3 linked regions of the Struthio camelus genome follow. The protein of the gene in region 3 interacts with the protein of the main gene of each other region in a biochemical or structural test. Links are inferred from orthologs where the notes say so. Each region holds a gene or a part of one and is shown on either strand. Other genes may lie near its edges.

Region 1 (6,801 bases), about 55 Mb from region 3:
GGGCTGTCATAAAGGTCGATCAGCCTCCTTACGTCAACGGAGAGGGCTTTGGGACAGAGGGGTGTCCAGAACAAGAGCCTAACCTTAGCAGATCTTACCGGTCACTCTCCACTGACTCAAGGAAGCTGAGGACTGCCAGGAAGCAAAGTCAGAGCTCCTCACACTAAGATAACTCCTGGCCATCACACAGGCACAAACTGTGGCCGCGATGGTGCATTTAGCACACGCGCCAGAAGTGGCGCGCAGTTGTCGAGAGCGGACAAAACCCGCCTGAATTGCTTCACTTCAGATCGTGCCGCCATCCAGAGAACAAGTTACATTAGACAGCAGTCACAGCTAGGGACCAGAGAAGACCGTAAGAAGCGACGGCAGAAGACAAGAGGAACTCTACAGACGAGTCTAGCTCAGGAAGTTAGCCTCACAAAGATGAAACTAACCCCCAAATACCCCTCTCCCTTCCCAACTTCTCCTCCGGTTACATAAAAGCGGCTGCGGCGGCTCTCTTCTGTGCCGAAGTCCACGCCGTCAGCCTGCACTAGACAGGACCCGAGTACACGATCTCAAAGCCCCTGAGGGCCTTGGCACGCAAAGTCCTCGTTGGAGGATCCCGGGCAGGCAGCAGCGTCAAGCTCCTCACCCGGCAGGAGCAGCAGTTCTGTAACTGGAGCTCTAGACATCTAGGAAAATTTACTGGTAAAAGCCAAAGTGTCGACGTTTTGTCAGGTAACTACAGGATTAGAGGGGGCTGATGGGGGTTACGTGACTGGATTCAAACGTGCAAACTCTTCAACTAACTCAGAATGCGGCAACTCAGTCTTGCTGTGAGTTCGGCCCCGAAACAAATGTTCTCCAAGGAACCAGAAACGGAAGAACAAAGGGAAAAGGGGGTCAGACTCCGCAGACTACTTAATATAGATGTGCTTGGCATTATAGTTACCACTTATTGGGTTTTAAGGAGGTTTTCTTCAGTGACAAGTTTAATATTATTTCCACAAATCTGCTGACATCTCATGGAAGCTTAAAAGGCATTTTTATTCAGGTTCAGGTATAATTGAAATCATTTATTTTACCTCAGTGTTGGTCAACTACAGTAGAATAGCATCTCTGTTGCTTAAAATGTATTTTCTTCCAAATACTCAAACTTCACCTTAACTCAGACTGCCATGATGAAGAAGAGTCAGAAGCATGGATAGATCTGACTGTGCGTATCACTGCCTAGACCACGTAAAATTATTAAAATGAACGTGCCTGTTGGGGAAACAGAGGCTATTTATTCACATTCATGTTTGATGTGAAAAAACTATGCACCAGCCACTAACCGCAATCAGTTCTACTTCAAAGCCTCATCATTTCACCCCTTCCAGTATTCTCAGATAGAAAAAGTAAATCAAAGTAGTCTCAAATAACTGGTTAGCTCTAGTAGACTCACTAATGCTTTAAAGATCAGTTTTGGAACGTCTAGCTGAGAGTGCTTAGCACTGAATCGGGAAAAAGTAAGGGTTATTTTTTAGTTAACGTGCAAAAATTGAAAGCACTAAGCACCTGCCTTCTCACTGCAAGATCCCAAGAGCAAATAAGACGTTTATAGCAGCACAAAGTACTTTGCTTACCATACCAGTCTGACCTACAACGGCAACAGGTTTCTATGACAGTATGCAGTACTGGACGGTTGTACAAGCAACACGTTGTCTGTCATTTACCAGTTGCAGATCACTGCTGTACTTCAAATAGGAAAATAAATCACTAACGTCCTATCGTCTACAAAGCCATAAAGGTTACAACGATCTATCAATCTTTAAATACTAAGAGTTTCTAAAACAGAGCATGTGATCAATTTAGGACATTTGTATATAGGTTTAAATGAGAAAGGTATACGATATTAAGAAAAAAAGAAAAACTTAGGCAGAACACTGACAGAGTGAAAGGGGTGCTGTGCAGTCTGAAAAACAGCTTACGTAGAGCTTACCCTTCCTTTGTACAGTGGAAACGACCAAACGGTCCTTCAAGGTAAATTTTAGCACTATTTTCTACGATCCTGTTAGAGGAGCATTAATCTGATTAGTCTGAACTGCTTCACGGGGATTATGCCAAACGGGAAATCAGGAAGCACGCCTACTCACACCGATGCTGTTGTAGAGATATAAACTGGCGCATACTTCTTAAACCACGTGACTGATCAACTTTTATGGACTTTTTTTTTTTTTTGCAAACAGTCTATATTGTTTAAATCATTGTAGCTGACATGCATTGTTTTTTCACTAGGTCTTTATCTCTTAAGCTTCCACAAGGAACGGTAGTTGAAACTGGTAGTATTATAACTCTGAAATAGAATAAAACAATACAAATCCTGAAAAGTAGTGGCAGTTGTTTGGTTAACTGCGCATTTTCAGATGTATTTCTAGTGTTAACGTGGAAAACGGTCGTTCAAAACGTCTTTCAATAGAAAAAGACGCATAAACTGAAGGGGCTATTTCCTTCATATAATAAATCGTCATTGCATGTATTAATCATGTTTGTGCAACTTCACGTGTGACTCGGGTTTTGCGACAAGAACTCCCGAGAAATTAACACTGAAGTTCAGACAGCCCCAAATCTCTCCACATCTGCACAACCTGCAGCCGTGACTTTGGCTGTGCAAGAACCTGCAGCTCGCCAAGGGTTGAGAGAGGCAACATCAGGAGGGGAAAACACGGACGATAAGCTCGGAGCAGGCAATCGAGCGTTTTGATTAGTTTTCTTTAAATGCAAAACTCTACCTAACACGGGTTAAACTATAAAACCCGGCAGCGTACGATCTATCGTCGGGAAAGAGGTAGCTGACGCCGCTCCGGGGAGCACGCGCCTTCCCAAACCGGCAGAAGCGAGGGAAGTCGAATTATTTCCAGAGCAGCGTCTAGACTCGCAGGGCGCGTCGGCACCCGCCAGGCAACGTGGGCGCCCGGCTCCTACTGCTCCTAGGATTTCCCACGGCTCTGCTCGGCTACGCCAGCTCCCCCGGACTGCCACCAGCACCGCCCCCCCATGCGTGCCCCCCCTGCCCCTCGAGCCGCCCCACACCTCCCACGGCCGCGTGGGTACCCCCACCTGAGCTGCCCCACACCTCCCACGGCCCCGTGCACCACCCCGAGCTGCCCCACACCTCCCACGGCCCCTGTGTGTACCCCCACCCCGAGCTGCCCCACACCTCCCACGGCCCCGTGCACCACCCCGAGCTGCCCCACACCTCCCACGGCCCCTGTGGGTACCCCCACCCCGAGCTGCCCCACACCTCCCACGGCCCCGTGCACCACCCCGAGCTGCCCCACACCTCCCACGGCTCCATGTGTACCCCACCCCGAGCTGCCCCACACCTCCCACGGCCCCGTGTACCACCCCGAGCCGCCCCACACCTCCCATGGCCCCTGTGTGTGCCCCCACCCCGAGCTGCCCCACACCTCCCACGGCCCCGTGCACCACCCCGAGCTGCCCCACACCTCCCACAGCCCCTGTGTGTACCCCCACCCCGAGCTGCCCCACACCTCCCAAAGCTCCACGGGTACCCCCATCCCGAGCTGCCCCACACCTCCCACGGCCCCGTGCACCACCCCGAGCCGCCCCACACCTCCCACGGCCCCGTGCACCACCCCGAGCTGCCCCACACCTCCCATGGCTCCGTGTGTACCCCCGCCCCGAGCCGCCCCACACCTCCCACAGCCCCGTGTATACCCCCACCCCGAGCCGCCCCACACCTCCCACGGCCCCTGTGTGTACCCCCACCCCGAGCCGCCCCACACCTCCCATGGCCGTGGGTACCCCCACCCCGAGCTGCCCCACACCTCCCATGGCCCCATGCACTGCCCCTAGCTGCCCCACACCTCCCACAGCCCCGTGTATACCCCCACCCCGAGCTGCCCCACACCTCCCATGGCCCTATGCACTGCCCCGAGCCGCCCCACACCTCCCACGGCCCCATGCACTGCCCCTAGCTGCCCCACACCTCCCACAGCCCCGTGTGTACCCCCACCCCGAGCTGCCCCACACCTCCCATGGCCCCATGCACTGCCCCTAGCTGCCCCACACCACCCACGGCCCCGTGTGTACCCCCACCCCGAGCCACCCCACACCTCCCATGCCCTCCCTCCTCCTGTCACCTCCCCACACCTCCCATGCCCCCCCAGCCGCCCCACACCTCCCATGCCCCCCTCTCCCCCTCCTCACCGCCCCACACCTCCCACGACCCCCCCCGCCACCCCCACACCTCCCACGACCCCCTCCCCCTGTCACCGCCCCACGCCTCCCACGACCCCCCCCGTCACCGCCCCACGCCCTTCCCCCACGGCGCTGCCTCTAGCACCCACTCCCCCCCGGGTCACCCCCCCTCCCCCCCGGGTCACCCCCACGGCCCCGCCCCCCAGCTGTCAATCACCCCCGTCCCGGCACAGGCGCGCGCGCGCCCCCCGGCTTGGGGGAGGGGGGAGGAAGAGGAGGACAGCGGCCGGTCCGGCGCATGCGCAGCCGCTCGGCCGCCTCCCCGCGGCGGGCCGCGGGGTCCCGCGCAGCCCCGCCCCGCCGGCGGCACAGCGCGCGCGGCCTCCGCCAGGGGAGGCGGCAGCTGCGGCCGGCCGCGGTGGCGCCGCCGCCGCCGCCGCCTCCGGCCCCCCCCCCCCCCCCCTCTTCCACGGCCCGCATCGGACCGCCCCGCCGCCTGAGGTGAGGAGGAGGCGCGGCGCGTGAGGGGAGGGAGGCGCCGCGGCGCGGGGGGCTGTCTCCTCCGGCGGAGCGCAGGGCCTAGGCGGGCCCCTGAGGGGAGCGGCGAGGCCGGGAGCCGGCGGGCCGCCTCCCTCGGGCTGCCCCTGCGAGGCGCGGGTGCCCTTGCAGCGGCGGCGCTGCCTTGTGCCCGGCTGGGGTCTCACCTGACCGGGTCCCGGGGGAAGCGGAAGAAGGCCAGGTCGGACTGGGTGCTCTTGCGGGTGCAGTTGGGAGCCGCACAGAAGTTCGGCATGGTCGCCCGGATTGGAGCCTCTGCCCCTTTAAATCCGCGGGCCGCAGAGAGCGGGCGGGGGGGGGGGGCGGGTGTGTATGTGGGGTGGAGGAGGAGGACGGGGGGGAGGGAGGGAGGAAGGAAGGAAGGGGGGGGTAGGGAGGGGGAAGCGGCTCTACACTGCTGTGAGCGGCCGGGAGGATTCACCGCCACCCTCCGCCGGGACAAGAGCCGCCTCCTTCCCACAATGCACCCCTCCCGGCTGCCCTCGCGCGCCCGGCCGCCGCCGGCCAGTGGCCATGCGCGGCGGCGGGACCCGGATGAGCGCCGCCGCGCATGCGGCCTGGCCGCGTCGAAGCGGGCGATTCCCCCCCCCCCCAGAGCGCCCCAGAGGGGCCCGCCGCCGCCGCTTTTGCGCCTGCGCGTGGGAGGCGGGCGGCGCGCAGGCGCAGAGGCGGCGGCGGCCTTCCGCGACGTGGGGGCGTGGGCGGGGCCGGCGCGTCGCCCGCGGGGTGTCCCGGTACCGTGGGGAGGGCGCGAAGCTCTCACGAGTGCTCCTGGCTGGCCTGAGCCTCGTAATTTTCCGTGTTGAGCTTGTTGGGGTCAAGGAAAAGCAAAAAAGAGCCAACTCCGGTCTGTAGCATCACTGGGGGAGAAGGGTCCCTCCCCTCGCCTTTATTTCATTCCATACCAAAAAGATGGAATAAGGAAATTAAGGGTTTTAAGTGCTATATCCTGAAGTTTAGGGGGTGTCAGTCACCAGCGCGCAGTTGTCCTGGTGGTGCCGGTTGTTTCAAGTTCCTCGAGTTGGATTGTACAGCCTGCGTCAGCCTGGGTGGTTGTTTGTGTTTAACTAACTCTGAGGCCTTCAAGAGGCACGTGGTTAGAAACCCGGCAAAATATCTGTGATTCACAACGGGTAAATGAACTACTAGGCCAAAATATAAATGGTACAGACTATATGAATAATGTTATACATGTGTGTTATATTGGGTACATTCAGTTTTAAAAGTGAGCTTAAGTTGTAGAATGAGGCCATAATCTTTTTCTGTTTTGTGTTTTCTTTTGTTTTGCGTTTTAGGAAGACATCGTTAATCCACAACCCAGATAGTGGGACAAACTAAGAGCTGACTATGTATGTCTTGAGCAATAAAGTAACCAAAACAGGATGTACAACTAGTGTGACGACTTCCTCAGTTCTCTCTAAGGTAAAAACAAAGCAGAGCTCATTTAAACAAAAAAAAAAGTAGTAGAAGATTAGATAGTTGGAAGCGAAAAAGAGTGATTCAACAACTGTGACCTACCGATGGTTTGAGATAATAGAAGCAGGAACTGTAAGATGAATAAATTCTGCTTGCAGACCAGAATTGTTTCAGGTGCTGTAATGCCGTAGTGTAAGAATTCACCTTTGGTATAGATATCTCTTACGTACCTCTTTAATACCTCTTTAATGTCGCTTAAAAAAGAATCCCAGCAAGGAGATTGGGGGGACATTTGGAAGCGTAATCCAAATATATGACATAGGCAAAGTATGAGTCTTTTTGAAAAGTACATAATGTAAAACAACACTCATTTGATTCCTTTTGGATGGCTTCTAAACTTCCTAGCTTTTTTTCTTTTTTCTTTTTCTTTTTAGTACGAGTAGGACAACTTTTTCCTTGCCATCAAATGCCCTTTAAACTAGGAAACTCAAAGCATATCTCATTGGAGTAATTTCAATTACATCAATTTATTTGGTGTTAATTCTGTGTGAGAACTCTAATTCAGGCATGAAGCTGTGTTTGTCACTGTTTGTGGGCACAGAGAAGAGCTTCTCCCTGGGTACCTTCCTGTCTGGTGAA
Region 2 (7,101 bases), on a different chromosome or scaffold from region 3:
CACGTCCCAAAGGGAGTATCACCAAACACAGAGGAAACCCACACCTGCTCCAGTCTCAGGTCTCCCCCGCAGTCTTTTAACTGAGCTCCACTCGCTTGCATGCTTAGGGAGCAGGATGAGGAGGGGGAAGGCAGAGTGATGGCTTCACGGCCATCTCTGCAAAGGCTGCACTCTCTGCAAAGACACTCACTAATGGGAGAAGGGGAAGGAAGCCAGTCCCTGTCCCAGGCAAGCTTTCACCTCGGAAGTGCAGAAACCAGGGATAATCTAGCGCCGTTTTCCTTTGTCACTGAAAACATCCTTTCTAGTTTCCTACACTGGAACTGAGATAAGAGAATGAATTGGACAGCAATTAAGAAAACATGTTGGCACTTTAATCTCCTTGTACCTAATGCCCAATGGGTTGTTTCAGTCTTGCCTGAAATTTTCTATTCCTCTTCCTCCACATAGGGACACTCTCTTGTTCCAACAGCTGATTACTGGAAAAGAAAATCCTGGAAGATAGCTTCAAGTCCATTGATTAGTTTTGGACCAGCCTTTCTGCACTACATCTTTTGCATTCACTTTGAATTTACTGATTGGTGAATGCGTACCGAGTTCAAGAAACTAAAGGAAGTCAAGCATTCCACAAATGGTTATTAGGTAAACCTCCTTGAGCATCTCTGCCTCCAAATCACAATTCTGACTTACCAAAAAAAAAAACCCCTCAAAAAACCAAAAAACCCACAAACAAAAGCTCAACCTCCTATCCCCCCACTCCCAAACACAGACTCACCAGAGGCAGACATGATGCCCCAGGGATACGGATTACAGCTATATGTCCTATGGTCAGGGAACCAGCTCAGTCTATCAGTTTACTGACTCAGTAAACCCTTCAGAGTTCACAGGCTCACAGGTCAAGAAGCCAAGTCAAAGAATGCTAATATATTAATTTACATTTTTTAAAAACCTTTTTTTTCCTCCTATCATCTCCCTACCCCAAGTCAAATACATCAAGGAATTCCAGTGGAAACTGACTGCCCTGTACCAAGCTGAGCGTCTGCACTATCGAGCAGGGCTATTATAACTAGCATTTCCTCTCCAGCTGACAAGGTATCCAGCAACAGCTCGTATTCTACACATATTTTCCTTTTCCTTCCTCTCAAAGGCAGTACCAACTGGGCCCATGAAATAGGTCCAGTTCAGAGCTGAGCTGTGTTGTCAGTTCCCTTTCATGAAGCAGTTTAAACTCTGCTCTTACCAGACATTAGCTTCTGCCTTCACGTGATTTTATAGCCTTTCTCCTCCGCTCTTACTTTCTTATATTTTCACTACGTGTCTTATGGACGGGAATTTCAAAAGGTTCGCCAAAAAAACCAAGCTGCTTACTGCAGCTACAAAATATAGCTAATTGTATCTGTTTCAATTCCTCTGTTAAGTTGTGCATGTGTATATATACTTGCATATATAGAGACACACATAGGTATATACACAGGCAAACACAGGAACTGTAATCACCATTCCCTTTTACATGCAAATGCAGCTTGGCATTCAAAATGAGAGAGAACCAAGTCCCAAATACGCGTCATTTGTACTAAAGTAAATCCAGCATAACACACACAAATCAGGACATTGCCGGGCAGATGAACCCAGTCAGACTGTCTGCTTTTATCTGATACCATTTCAGAAACGTTAACCATTTGCTCCTGTTCTGCTGCTCACTCATGTAAGAAGAGCTCCTTCACTGAAGTTCCTTCTCTGGTCTAAATTTACGGTTACTTTTAAACAAACCTTTAACAGCGTAACAAAAACACAGCACCCCTTTGCTTGCGTTCAAGACTGCAAATTAGTGAAAGAGACTCTCAGCTGCTGGGAACCAGCCCAGCAGCTCTTGCAGAGCCCTGCCAGCGCTGGGGCCGTGCGCACTCGCAGCAGCTGCTGCCACCACCCCGGGCAGCCACACCGCTTCCGACAGCTCCCTCAGGCAGCATGTTAGCTGCGCTGGGAACATCGTTTCCTCCTGGGCAAACTGAGTAAGGCGCTGGCAGTTAAAACATATGCCACAAAAAAAAAAAAAAAAAAGCTGTTTTCCCACCAGCGTTTTAGTGTGATTTTAGCATCTGCAAACACTTGATTAAAAGTAATGAGCTCTTCCCACAAGAAGACAGTTGGTAGCCAACACTTTTGAAGCATCAGGTGTCTTCTACCTCGTATTTCTCCATATAATTTTGAGGATGTGAACAATTTGAAATGCACTTTTTGAAGCAAGGACAGAAGAAAAATAAACATCTTTCATTTCACTGTCAACTGGCACACACACGAGCCCTGCGCAGAAGCGGAGGGATACAGTGGGTCCTTCCTAACTGCGACGGGCACTGCAACCCCGAAGGGTGACGTGGTGGGTCTGGAGCGCTCTTCAGCCTTAACGCACCCCCTTGACAGCACTGGCCACAAACCCTTCCTACCTTTGGCTACTTTTCCTACAAAGAGCTTCCGGATTTTCTCTTTCAAGTGAATCTCGGCAGATGCCAAGAACAGACCCACGGATTTACGAAACACCAGCCGCTGTAATGCCCACAGCGCTATGTGGGTTGCAAACACTCCCCTTCTCATGCGGTGGCACCAGCGCGAGGGCAGGTACACCGCAGCGCGTGGTACTCACCCCATCCTTCGCCTCTATGCCGGTGGCAGCAGCAACCTCAGCCCTTCCTCCAGCGATCTCCTGTAGCAGAGCAGCACCCAGGTGACCAGTGTCCTTCACCTGGAGATGAACAACAGGCCAACACACAGCCTAATTCTTCTCAAGAGACAGCTAGGACGTTCCCACCAGGCCCACAGCTGCAGGCCCCACGTGAGCCATCCCAGCTGGTGCCACTTCTCACAGCGGCGCTTGCTGGTGCAACGGCGGGGTAGCTCTCCTGCTGCACGGGGCCTCTGCGAGTTAAAACACCGAGAACTGCAGCTAGGGTGCAGTTTCCCGAGGCTTTGTGTCCCCTCACAGCTCTTCAAGTGCTCATGTAAAGAGTAAAAGAGGCTGAAAACCTGAAACCTATTTTATTGCTTGCTCCTGTGTACGTTCCCCAACCAATTAACGTTTGGCTGAAAAATCTTACGACTGCCTTCCCCCTTTTGCAATTCCAGCCTGGGAAGGCGACGGTTCCTACGCGCTTGATGATCTGTTCAAGCAGCGCAGTGGCACCCGTTACGGAGAATTGTGCCTCACAGCCTGACATGTACCCCTTCAAACCAGCCCACGTGGCTGGAAGAAGGACTCTCACCCCCATTTTCCAGACGGAGAAACGAGTCACAGTGAGGGAATAAGTAGTATAATCTAAATGCTTGGTGTGACTGGAGAAAAACTCTGGTGTGCAATGGGTTAGACTAAGCGTTCATAAAGGTCCCCCCTAGAGAGCAAACTAATGCCCTTTAAAGAAATTCTGTTTGCTGGACAACTAATTAAAAGTATTTCTCGAATGACCATACAGGCCCAGTTGTTTGGGTTTTTTCCTTAACTATTGCTCTGAACTTCTACCAGGGCAGCTGGAAACACCTGCCTTTTCATTGCATGAATTAGACCTTTGGTCACTCAGGAATGGCCATAAAAGGGGCCAAAGGTGTGCTACCGTAACAAGCAGAATAAAGTCTCAGAACTTAAAAAAGCACATGTCAAGTGGGTACATTTAAAAAATGTGATCCTGGCACAAAGCCTGGGTCTCCCTGACGTCCGGGGGCAGCTCTGCCATGTTCTTCAGCGCCACCAACACTTCACAGGTAGGTTGCAGAGGGACAAATCAAGTGAAACTACTCTTTAGTAAGACAAATACTTCCAAAACTAAGAGGACATCACGCGATCGTGGATGCACACCCTCGAAGCTGGTCTTTTGTTCCAGTGTCCGCTGATACATCCTGTCTAGGGTTTCACCAGAACGCTCTGCTGCTTGCAAGTGCCAATACCCATGTGTTCTGCTGAGTCCAAAGCTGGCGGTAGCGAAACCAAAGTTCAATATGTAACAGCGCTTTTATATGAATTCCTTGCTGTCCTTCAACAACGTTGCTATAAAAGCACTGTTTTTTTTTTTGTTTTGAACATCTTAGCTTTCTTACTGCTTTAAAACTTCACATATGACTTCATACTGCACTATATAAGCTGGTCTAGTATGCTGAAAATCATCCATCCTTAATCAGAGCCACAGTCAGCAGCTTTACAAATGACTTTCATTCCTTCATAAACGATCCTCTTCTAATATTGGAAAAACACAAGTAACTCGTTGAATTCACTCTGCTGATTTGCCACTTTATTCTGAACAGGATATGAATACTTCTACCACCTGGGCACTGAAAATTCATCAGCCATGTTGAATATTTTTATCCAAGAATGAGAAACCTGAACTTAGTTTATACATGCCTGGTAGATTAAAAAGTGCATTCATATTCATGCCTGATGTCTTTAGTACATATTTATATTACAACAGTTCCCAGTTAGTATTGTGCATCTGTTTATTTGGCTCATATAGGTAAGCAATCCAAAACAGATTATAATCTCAATAAACACGCCAAATGAAGAGTGGATAAATGGGTGTTTGCATGCGTAACTTGGACAAGTAACTTACCCAAAGCCACATCATGGATCAATAGCACAACCAGGCACAGAGCCCAGAATATACATATTCAAGTGCATACTGGACATGGTCCCTACATATATTTCTAAAATGACTGTTTATTTTAATGAGATGCAGTAAAATATTTCCTCAAAAAAAAAAAAAAGTTTCACGTTCTTAGTTCTAGTGCTTCATTTACCAGTGTCACACATGCATGAGTTACACAAACATAGATGGGGCCAGGAAAGCTTACTTCCATTTGTACTGTCAAGACAGCTTGATTTGTTTCTTCTCTAATGAACTTGGGAGAGCCTGTAAGAAGGAAAAGTACTAGCAAATATGAACATAACTTTATGAACAAAAGAAAAATTAGGAGTTGCAAGAAATAACGTTGGTCCTTCAGTCAGAGGTACTCCTTCTGAGTTCGCATCGGATGAATGCTGCAGTAGAATTTTAACTGTCGCATTACCACAGGATTTTCTGTTTCGAAATAGGTGTAAGGCATTCATGACTATTGCACCCACTGGCATAAAACACTACAGGACCACCACACTCCAGCATATCCAGAAAACCTATGGACGTTGCTGGAATCTACAGTACCTACCTACAGCTATAGGTACTTTACATGGGAGACGTTCAGTTAGCAATGACTGGCCGAATAACCTGAAGAAAGTCATCTACATCCAGAAAAATAGATATGCTTAGGTTGACATGGATATACTTTATCTCTGGTAACCACTTCTTCCATCATTTTTTTTAAATTTATTCTAGCTTTTAATACTATAATAACAGTTTGGGAAAGGGGGCAGGAATTTTAGTTTTATTTTGATTTAACTGGATATAGGAATTGTCACTTTCCTTCCTGAATTGTCAGCTACTTGCTGCTGTTGGACAGCTTCGTAGTTCATTCCAGCAGTTGGCGTATTGAGATTGCTACATAAAAATAAGTAAATCACTCTGAGACTCCGCAAAAGGAAAGACAGTCATTTAAACAAAGTAGGTATGAGACTGTATCATTTTAACTTTTTCCATGATGCACCAATTACTATTAAAAATACAATTTAGTTTGTGAGTTCCTAGAGGAGTATCTACTGTTGCATGGAGGCAATTCCAAAGGATTAGGATCCGCTAACATAGCCCTCATCTTCACCACAAGAAGAAAAAGTAGTATCAGTCATTTAGGAAGGCATCAAGCAGCATGCAGAACTAGCAGTTTTAACTGTAATGAAGCACAAAAATCCCAGTAGTAGATCGAGGCCCCTTAAACGCACCTTTTGCAAACACATACAGAGAGAAGCACTTCCCCAGGGAATGTACAATATAAGTACAGGAGCAGAGATCAAACAAGAGTTGCGCGAGCGGAAGAGCTGAAGGAGACTGTGGGCAACACGGACAAGACATCACAGCTTCATTCAGCTTGAGCCCTAGCTCTTCCATACCGCTTACAGACCCTCGGGGGGTTAATGCAGTCAACTTTCAGCTCCTCCAAAGAGACAAAACTACGGAAGTGAATGTCTGCTTGTGGATATTTTAAACAAAAAGGAAAACATATGGCCCTCTGGAGCTATGCTTGCTGCTGCTGCAGCTGGTATGTCACAGAGAACAGAGGGCCTAGGGCTGGAACTAAATGTAAAAGCTTTACTCCAGGAGCAACTAGAGAACAAACTGGGGAAAATGTTTCAATTTTAAAAGTAATCAGATTAACAAACCAGGAAAAACAAAGAGTTGAGACCACTCATGTACAGTTACCATAAAGAAATAAAAATAGGCACAAAATATTTTACCTGTAGTAAACAACAGCTTCTTACCTGTGTGAGGGATATTTTTGCAAACTATGAAAGAAAACCCGGAACAAATGACTAAAATCGGCATTTTATTTCCCAGATGTTATTTTGAGATTCTACACATAGAACAGTAACAAAAATTAAAACAGCAGAAGGGCTTTAGTTCAGAAAACTGCAAAGGCAGAAGATCAGTAATTTCATTTCATAAAACTAGAATTTCCATTAAAAGCCTACGTGGATTAAAACCACAGGTGCAACAAACCAAATAAGCTGCTGCTGATAGCCGTAATGTGCACCTTTAAGTTCACGTCTTGAGACATGATGGTAAATGTTTCACAGTAACAACTCATTCGGTAGGCTGGGCCCCAATTCAGAGCCAGTGTGTGCAGATGCAATCCCACTGACTGCGGAAATGGAGGAGGAGGAGGAGGAGGAGTGCCCGTGGCCTGCAGGGGCCTGTACTCCCCAGAGATAGCAAGGCCAGAAGAGATCATAAGAAGTCATCTAGTTCACCTCTGCCAGAGGATGAGCTGTGCCTTAAACATCGCCAATGTTTAAAGTCATCTTTGTTTAACTTTTTCTTAAAAACTTGCGTAAATGATTTTATAATGTTCTCCGGAAATGTATTGCAGGGCTTTGCAAAGTTACCATCAGGATTTTTTTCCTCTAATGTCTAAGCTAAAGGTAGCCAACTACTTGTCTTATGAACAGCGAATTTGGAGAACAGGACTTGAGGGGTT
Region 3 (7,492 bases):
GACTCGGCAAAACTCTGAAATACTAGACATACTATCTACTCTGCAGTAAGCATTCAAGCTCTTATTTATATTTATATTCATTATGTTACACTTACCTATAGATTGCTATATTGAATGGTAAAAAGGATTAGCTGGAGCAAACGTGTGATTATTAGGAGGGGCAATGTATGTGGACGATCTCCTCTGCTGGACCTGTGGGTATGTGCTTTTGAGAGAGCCCGGGTGCCTCCTTTCACCCTTCCATCGTTGCTGTGTCAGCAGCGCAACGCACGAATTTTGTCATCTTTTGGATTGTTAGCAGTCGGAGGATAAATGAAGTCTGTTAATTCAGAGATGGGTAAATACAGGACAGTGTTAGAAGGCATCACATGCCTATGGCTTATATAAAAATTCGCTCGGGGAACGAGTTGAATAACTCTACATGGGATGCAGGCAGCTGCCACTGCATACAAAGATAGCAGGCATAGGCTGGCAGCGCTGAGGTGTGCGTTGGAGCAGGCAGAGGTAAGGCTGCACACGTACACACTTTAACCGTGCAGTCCAAATCCCCAGAAGCGTGAACTTTGCAGACCTTGGTGTTTTGGCAGGACATAAGGTAGGAATGGACGCCTTAACTGATAACGTAGTGCTTTGTCACTGATATTTTTCACCTTTTTTAAAATTGAAGAGACGTGTTCGATTAAGAGAAACACTTAAGTAGCTTGGAGTCATCATGTAGATTTGAAACTTCAGCTTTGGGACTTCAGCTGGGAAAGTTATTTTTAATACACTAGGCAAACCAAAAAACAGTTGCAGAGTTTCAAACAGTTTCAAAACTAGTTATGAAAATAGGCTGAATTTCATAAATGGGTTTCAGTCGAAAATAAGAGTTCATGAATGTTAAACTATTTCATATATTTTCAAAATAGAATGCTTTACTTCAGAAATACCAAAATATTTTACTGTTTGAAGCAAAGTTTTGACTTCTGATTTCAGAGTATCATTTTAAAATGCTCTACATCTTCAAAAATGAAAATACGTATTTTAAAAGAGGTGAGATTTTGTAATAAATGTAATATTTTGCTTTCTGTCAAGCCCCTTCACCCTCCCAAAATCAACAGACGTGGCTTTTAAATCAAAATGCTTGAAAAATACTGTTTCACTTCATCTTGAATTGTTTCAAATTTGAATTAGGTTTGAATTTGAGTTGTTTCTGGAATTTTCTGGAGTTTGCTGTTGCTGCCATGGCTGGTAAGAAAAGTTGCAGATATTGTATACATCTCACTGATTAAAATAAATTTAAAATAAATTTAATTGTGAAAATGAAACATTGGTGTCTAATTCCCATCTTCCAACTTCTGTCCTACATATCTCACAACACATAGCCCTGTTGATAATCAGCTATAGTAATATAGTTTAGTGACTGAAGGACCTGTATTATAGCAAGCTTAACCGAAATGAGAGCAAAAGACCTAGGTAGAGCCTATTTATAGCGATATAAACAACAGACAGCAGTTAGTCTCTTTTTGTAGTGTCAAAACTCAAGGTCATAGCGCAGATGGTTAAATCCACACTGGAAAAGTGGTTCTCCCATCACAGTTAGGACTAAGATATACTTGTATAATTTTGTTGGGACAGTATGAAGGGGAAAGCATTAACAGAGGGTAACCTTACCCTAAAGAAGACTAATTCCTCACACTCTTTAAAGTCCATAAGCTTCTCCAAGAGCACATTTACAGTACTTAAGTTCTTGGGCTGAACTGCATTCTGTAGGAGCCTTTCTGTTTCCATGTATTGCAAAAAGAGCCCAGGACAAGGAATTTCCCTAAAGTCATCTCTTACAAATGCCACCCAAAATGGGAAATCTTGGAACTTCCAAAAGATGTGGCCATGTAAACAATAACCCTATGCTATGCCTGCTAGCAGAGATGTACATTACTATCCCATTTAGCTCGGTCATCACTCCAATTTAATAACACAGCTGCGTTTCTGATAGCAATGCACATACAGGGGAATGGATAAAAACAAGGTGTAAGGCCTGAGAGATCCCTCACAAGAAGAAGCCCCGAGGATAGTAACTCTGTGTTATCGTCCTGTCTCACCGCCTCCCGTATTTTCATACAGGACTGTGGAAGTAACATAACAGTCCGATATATTGCTTATTCTCCTGTGTCAGGAAACTGATTGATATGGATGGGGTTTTTTTTGGAACAGAGATTAGTAACTAAGATGTGTTGCCAAGAATGCTAGCTCACAGGTAATTAGCGGGGTCCTTCCCAGTACCTGTGTGTTTTCACACCTAATCTGGATTTCTCACCACACCACAGTTACATTTGAGTAGGTTTCCCAGTTAATAAACAGAACCTACAGATTTAACTAAATCCACATCTGTCACCATATTCAGGTCACCATCCCTGTTAGAAGCAACGAGTGTCTTAAAAAGTCATTCCTTGCTAACTGATGCCCTCTGCTGTTACTGTATTACCAGCAGTAACCGTGTTGGAGAAAATTCCTTGGCTTTCCCTCCTTTGACCACTTTGAACATTAGCGTAGTCTTTGCAATCAACCCAGCTTCCACTCCAAAACTCAAGGCTGCTGAAGAAACTTGTTTCTGGTCCCAGTCTGCCAAATTTTTATTGATCCTTTTGAAAGACTTACTGTATTACAGCTGTGTCGGCTTGCTATTTCTCAGATTACTTCTAAAAAATGACGTTGGCACGTCATATCATTTGTTCTTTTAAGTCTTTCTCGTCTTCTGCATCTCGTTTGCTTCTGAAATTGCACAAGGGAAGATGTGTTAACGTACTTTCTTCTCCCAGGCTTATAGTTAATCTCTAAATTACACTTTTAGGCGTTATGATCATCAAGAATGTTCTGTCATGGTTCATGGTCTCTTTCAGGAATTACTGGTCAGGCATCTGTATGATGACTTCTCTAACACAGACGGACAGTGAAAAATGATTTCTCTTTGAGCACGTCCTTTTGTAGTGTTGGCATTACACACTGTTTTTATATACTACTACAGCCTACTGAAATACTGACCTCCCTTATTAGTATAAATACTGACTCCTTATTAAGCATCTACTGAGAATATTGGCTCACTTTTATCATAATACTGTTACTTTTTTTTAAGGGATATGATGCTTGGACTTTTATGCTTGGAAATCTGTTCAGATTGGTACTCCAGTATCAGCTACTGCTTTGAGTTTTCTTCAGATTCCAGATTGTTCTCTCCTAATCTTGTTATTAAAGGTCTCCATTAAGTAGACTGCTATCCTTACTATTGTTTCCAGTCATTTGGGGGGAGAGGGAGTTGCAGGTGTGAATTGCTATACTGTATTCACTTTTGTCTGGCTTTGGTGTAATACGTCTCTTTTTCTGAGGTACAGCCATAGGAATTCATTTATTGTAACAGTGCTCGCATTCTGCTCATGCTCAGTTTTTGGCTTTCGTATTTTGTCCTCTCCATAATGCTACAGAGTTGTCATGTTCTGCCTCACGCTGACATCTTTAGAGTGGCATCAATTATTCATTGCACATCTACCACTTCCATTATTCAAGTTCTTATCTCTGAATATCTCCTGCCGGTGAAATTTCAGGGTGATCCTTTTGAAGCACCATCTTCCAAACGAAACGTTCGAGAGGGATAACGTGCAGTTTTCTTTGTTTAGTCTGATCTTTCAGGAAAAGCTTGTCCTGCAAACCTTGCACATTTTCTCCGCTTGGGTGAGAAGGGCAACGTGACCATATCTTCAGAATGTAAAAAAAGAAACGTCTGTGGTCACCACATAAGATTTCTAGCGCCAAGTTTGTTATTTGCTGGGTGGAATTCTCATGAGAACAAGATTTTTTTCTTTTTTTAACATTGATGGGGTGTAATATTATATAACAGGCCCCTCATATGAATGGTTTATCCAATAATATAAAGCAGATAATTTGAAACAACAAACTGGGCACATACAAGATTACTTTTCCCGGGATAACCAAGAGCACGTCATATTTGCACTATGAAGAAGAAAGGAAAAGACATTTCCCGAAACACGTTTGCTGGCTGGTCGGCTACCTTTGCTTGTGTAGGTTTACAGCCCCAGCGGGAACTTCTAACCACAAAAACGCCGGGCTCTGCCAAAGCCGGACGACCCCTTCGCCCGCGGCCGGGTACAACCCCTAGCGCTTTTTCGGCACGCCTGGAGGACAACGGGTATGCTGATTATTTAGCTCAGTGTGAGGAGAAAACAGGCCTGTACGCCATCAAACACTGGGCAGCGAGCTGACCAAAAAACGCGGAACCCCTCACCCCTCCCTCCGCCGCCATTCCCGGTGAGGGCAATCCCGCCACCCGCGGCGTCCTCCGCCTTCCTGCGCAGGCGCCGAGCGGCCACACTCTACCACCCCCGCCCCCCCCCCCATCCCCTCTCCGCGCAGGCGCGGTGGCGGCTTCCCGGTTTACTGCCCGCGCAGGCGCGGTGGCAGCGGTGGGGCTCGGTGTTGTGCGGGCGGGCGCCTTCACGCTGCTTCCACGTTTCCCGAGGGCGAGGGGGCGGGCGGGCGCGGCGCAGCCAATCGGAGGCGCCCACGACCCACCCCGGACAAGTTGGAGCTCGTCGGCCGCGGGCGTTGGTGGAGATGGTGTCTCCTGCGGCTTCCGCCGGCCGTCTGGGCTCTGCGCTGCCTTTTCTGCTGGTGCTCTTCGACCTGCAGTACCAGGGTGAGGGCGGAGAAAGGGGGCCGCAGCGCCTCCGGGGTGGGGGAGGCCGGCCTTGCCGCCCGGGGGTCGCGGGTGGGGCGCGCCGCCTTGTGCGGAGGCCGCGGGGGGCGCTGCCTTGGTTCCTGCGGGCTGCCGTTAACGGTCGCGGCGGCCGAGGGGCGCCTGGGTTGCTGCCCTTCCCCCCCCCCCCCCCCGCGGCCTGGGGGGAGCCGCCATGGCAGGCGGGCCGGGCCAAGGGGCTGGGGCAGAGGCAAAGCAGAGCGGAGCAGCGGCCTGCCCCAGGGCAGCTGGTGGGACCAGGCCGGCGGGAGGTCCCCGGGTGGCGTCGGGGCAGTCCCTGCAGGGCGTCCGGAAAGCAAATATTTTTGGAAAGGGTGGGAGTTAAAAAGGCGACGCAGAACTGCCACCTCATCAGAGCTAATGCGAAAGGTGTGCAATGAATGTTGGTGCCGCTGCTGGTAGCTTACTGCCTTTTACTGAAACTTTAGTCAGTGCTGCTTGAGGTAGTTCGGTGTGTGTTTCATTTTCTTTGGCCTGCTAATAGGGAGCTAAGGGGAAATGCTGTGGTGGCCTGCAGCACAGCTCTGCAGCACCATTGAGCTGTTCTGTACTGGCCTCAAGCCTCACTTTTATATCACTTGTATGTAATTTTCAAGTTAGAAGGTTTTTTTCCTTTGGTTTCCGTAACCCACAACGGTTATTAGGGCCTGACCTGCAAGTTTGCTGTGGCTTCTCACTGTCTTCCATTTGTTTATGTTTTTTTGCATCACTGTTGGTGTTTGAAGTTGGTCAGAGTACCACGTGCAACCTATCTGCTTTCAGAGTATGCTGTCAGCAACACCTGTGTAGTCAAACACATTCTCAAGCTCCTGTTAAATTTATAACTTGGTTATGCAATTGTGCATTTATTCAGAAACACGGTTGCACCTGAGAAACGTCCTGTCACTGGTAGAGGTTGATTGAGATAGAACTGAGACTGTCACTACTCAGAATAAGTCTATGGACTTGCAGCTAACCTGGCTTGACATTAGAAATTCAGTCGGAAGATGTACTAGATGAAAATTTCAGCTCACCAAGTGGCAATAGGTACATAGTGTAGCAAAGATGCTCTGTAGTATATGACTATGTGCTGTGGTGTTGAGTTGCTTTTTTGGATATGTATTCTGCTATTGTTGGAGGAAAAACCTAACTGAGTTCAAAGTATGTGTGTGTGTATATGTATATATAAATACATATATAGAACTCTGGCAGTGATGTTCCTGCTGAGGATTCTTTATTCAGAAGTGCTGGCCTAGTCTGATTATATTCTCTGTAAATGAATAATTTAATGAGTCTGTGAATTACCAAAGCCACGTTTCCTAGCTTGGGGTATATTCTCTTAACTGAACTCTGATAGTTTACTCTCTTTCAAAATATATTTATTAATAGGGTAAGAGGTGATGGTTCTTGATGTTATTTACTTCCTTATCTTATTTCACGAACTCATTTCCCAGGAAATTGAGTTAAGGGATGTAGATTTTGTTGTTGTTTCAAGTATCTAGATTCTTTTTTTCCAGCATTAGGGGGTTTTAAACTCAAAGGCCTTAAAAGGCACATTTATGTTTGTCTTGCTGCCTTGATTGTAGAAGTCTTCATTGTGTCATCTGAATCATGAATCTTTGGGACGAGTGAGCTTGAATTAGCTTTGTGTCTTAAGGGTCAACATTTATGAAAACTAATTTATTTCTGGCTAGTGCATGAGTTCAGTAAAAGAGCTGGAATAGTTGTTGGTGTGGCAAGTTGCAGTTCACCCATTGCTGTTGTGTCCTGAATTCCTCCTCCTGGATTACCTTGGTTTCTGCCTGGTGAATAAGCTTTCATTTGATGTGAGTCACCTCTGGGAGAGTCAGTTTTCATGGATGGGTTGTCCAGCCTCATTGCAACAGAGAAATGAGCTTTCAGTGTACAGAGCTCAACTCATTGTCAGACTGCTAACCTTATTTAAAGTGTTTCTTCCATATCCTTCTATCCGGAGTTTGGGAAATCTTTTTTTTTTTTTCCCCCCACCCCAAACTGTAATGGATACTAATGTGAGGAAGAAACTAGTTTCCTGGGAAGGAGGAGATGTGTTTGTGGTATGTATTTTTGATTGTTTGTTTGCTGACCTTTGTTATATTTATCAACTTTCTTTGGGAACTGAGGGAGTAACAACTTTGTGGACTGAAATCGCATGCAGCTTAATTGGGTGGGGGGAGCTGCTGTACTCTGAGACTTCTTATGAGCCCTTTCATACTACTCCTGAAACTTTGTGATTGTTCATCTACTTACTTTGTTTGGTGTTGGTCTTAAAACACACACAGACACAAGCAAAGCCCAAACCTATTTAAAAATAGCTGCAATCTTGCAACTTGAGGTAAGCGCAGGGTAGTTCTAATCAAAAAGCTTCACGCAGCGAAGACCCCCCCCCCTTCCCCCCCACCATGATAAAACAATTATTAAACTTTCAGGTAAAAAAAAGAAAAGAAAAGAAAAAAAGGAAGCTTGGAAGGAAATTTTAAATGGCCACAATTGAGATTAACGGCATGTATGTTTCTCCTTTGTCTATGACTTCGTATCAATTTTTTCTGGTACACGATTATAATTTCTTTTGTTTATTTTCATGGGCTTCTTGCCAAGCTCAGGGACAAGATTTCTAAAAAGTGTTTTGTAGGGGAGAGTTCTGTAGGAAACATGAGAGAAATGTGTAGTCGAATGTGAAACTTGAAACTGTTGAAATTGCAGAGTTTTCTTGAGGTTTTTACGCTGTGGTTTTAACTATTGCGTAAA

The links.
Region 1: the proteins of DNAJC3 (region 3) and THAP12 form a complex in vitro, tested with the Homo sapiens proteins (2 studies listed by BioGRID). The link is inferred for Struthio camelus from reciprocal best matches to the Homo sapiens genes DNAJC3 and THAP12.
Region 2: the proteins of DNAJC3 (region 3) and EIF2AK2 form a complex in vitro, tested with the Homo sapiens proteins (2 studies listed by BioGRID). The link is inferred for Struthio camelus from reciprocal best matches to the Homo sapiens genes DNAJC3 and EIF2AK2.

Annotation. Positions count from the first base shown.
Region 1 is NC_090942.1:221,396,002-221,402,802, reverse strand, and holds the start of THAP12 (52 kDa repressor of the inhibitor of the protein kinase), read right to left. Parts: upstream 3,001-6,801; 5' UTR 2,757-3,000; intron 2,321-2,756; 5' UTR 2,155-2,320; coding exon 2,123-2,154; intron 2,036-2,122; coding exon 1,967-2,035; intron 1,937-1,966; exon of another isoform or gene 1-1,936. UniProt on the Homo sapiens protein: Upstream regulator of interferon-induced serine/threonine protein kinase R (PKR). May block the PKR-inhibitory function of DNAJC3, resulting in restoration of kinase activity and suppression of cell growth.
Region 2 is NC_090944.1:102,478,184-102,485,284, forward strand, and holds the start of EIF2AK2 (interferon-induced, double-stranded RNA-activated protein kinase), read right to left. Parts: upstream 3,001-7,101; 5' UTR 2,642-3,000; intron 1-2,641.
Region 3 is NC_090942.1:166,180,727-166,188,218, reverse strand, and holds the start of DNAJC3 (dnaJ homolog subfamily C member 3), read left to right. Parts: upstream 1-4,408; 5' UTR 4,409-4,605; coding exon 4,606-4,687; intron 4,688-7,492. UniProt on the Homo sapiens protein: Involved in the unfolded protein response (UPR) during endoplasmic reticulum (ER) stress.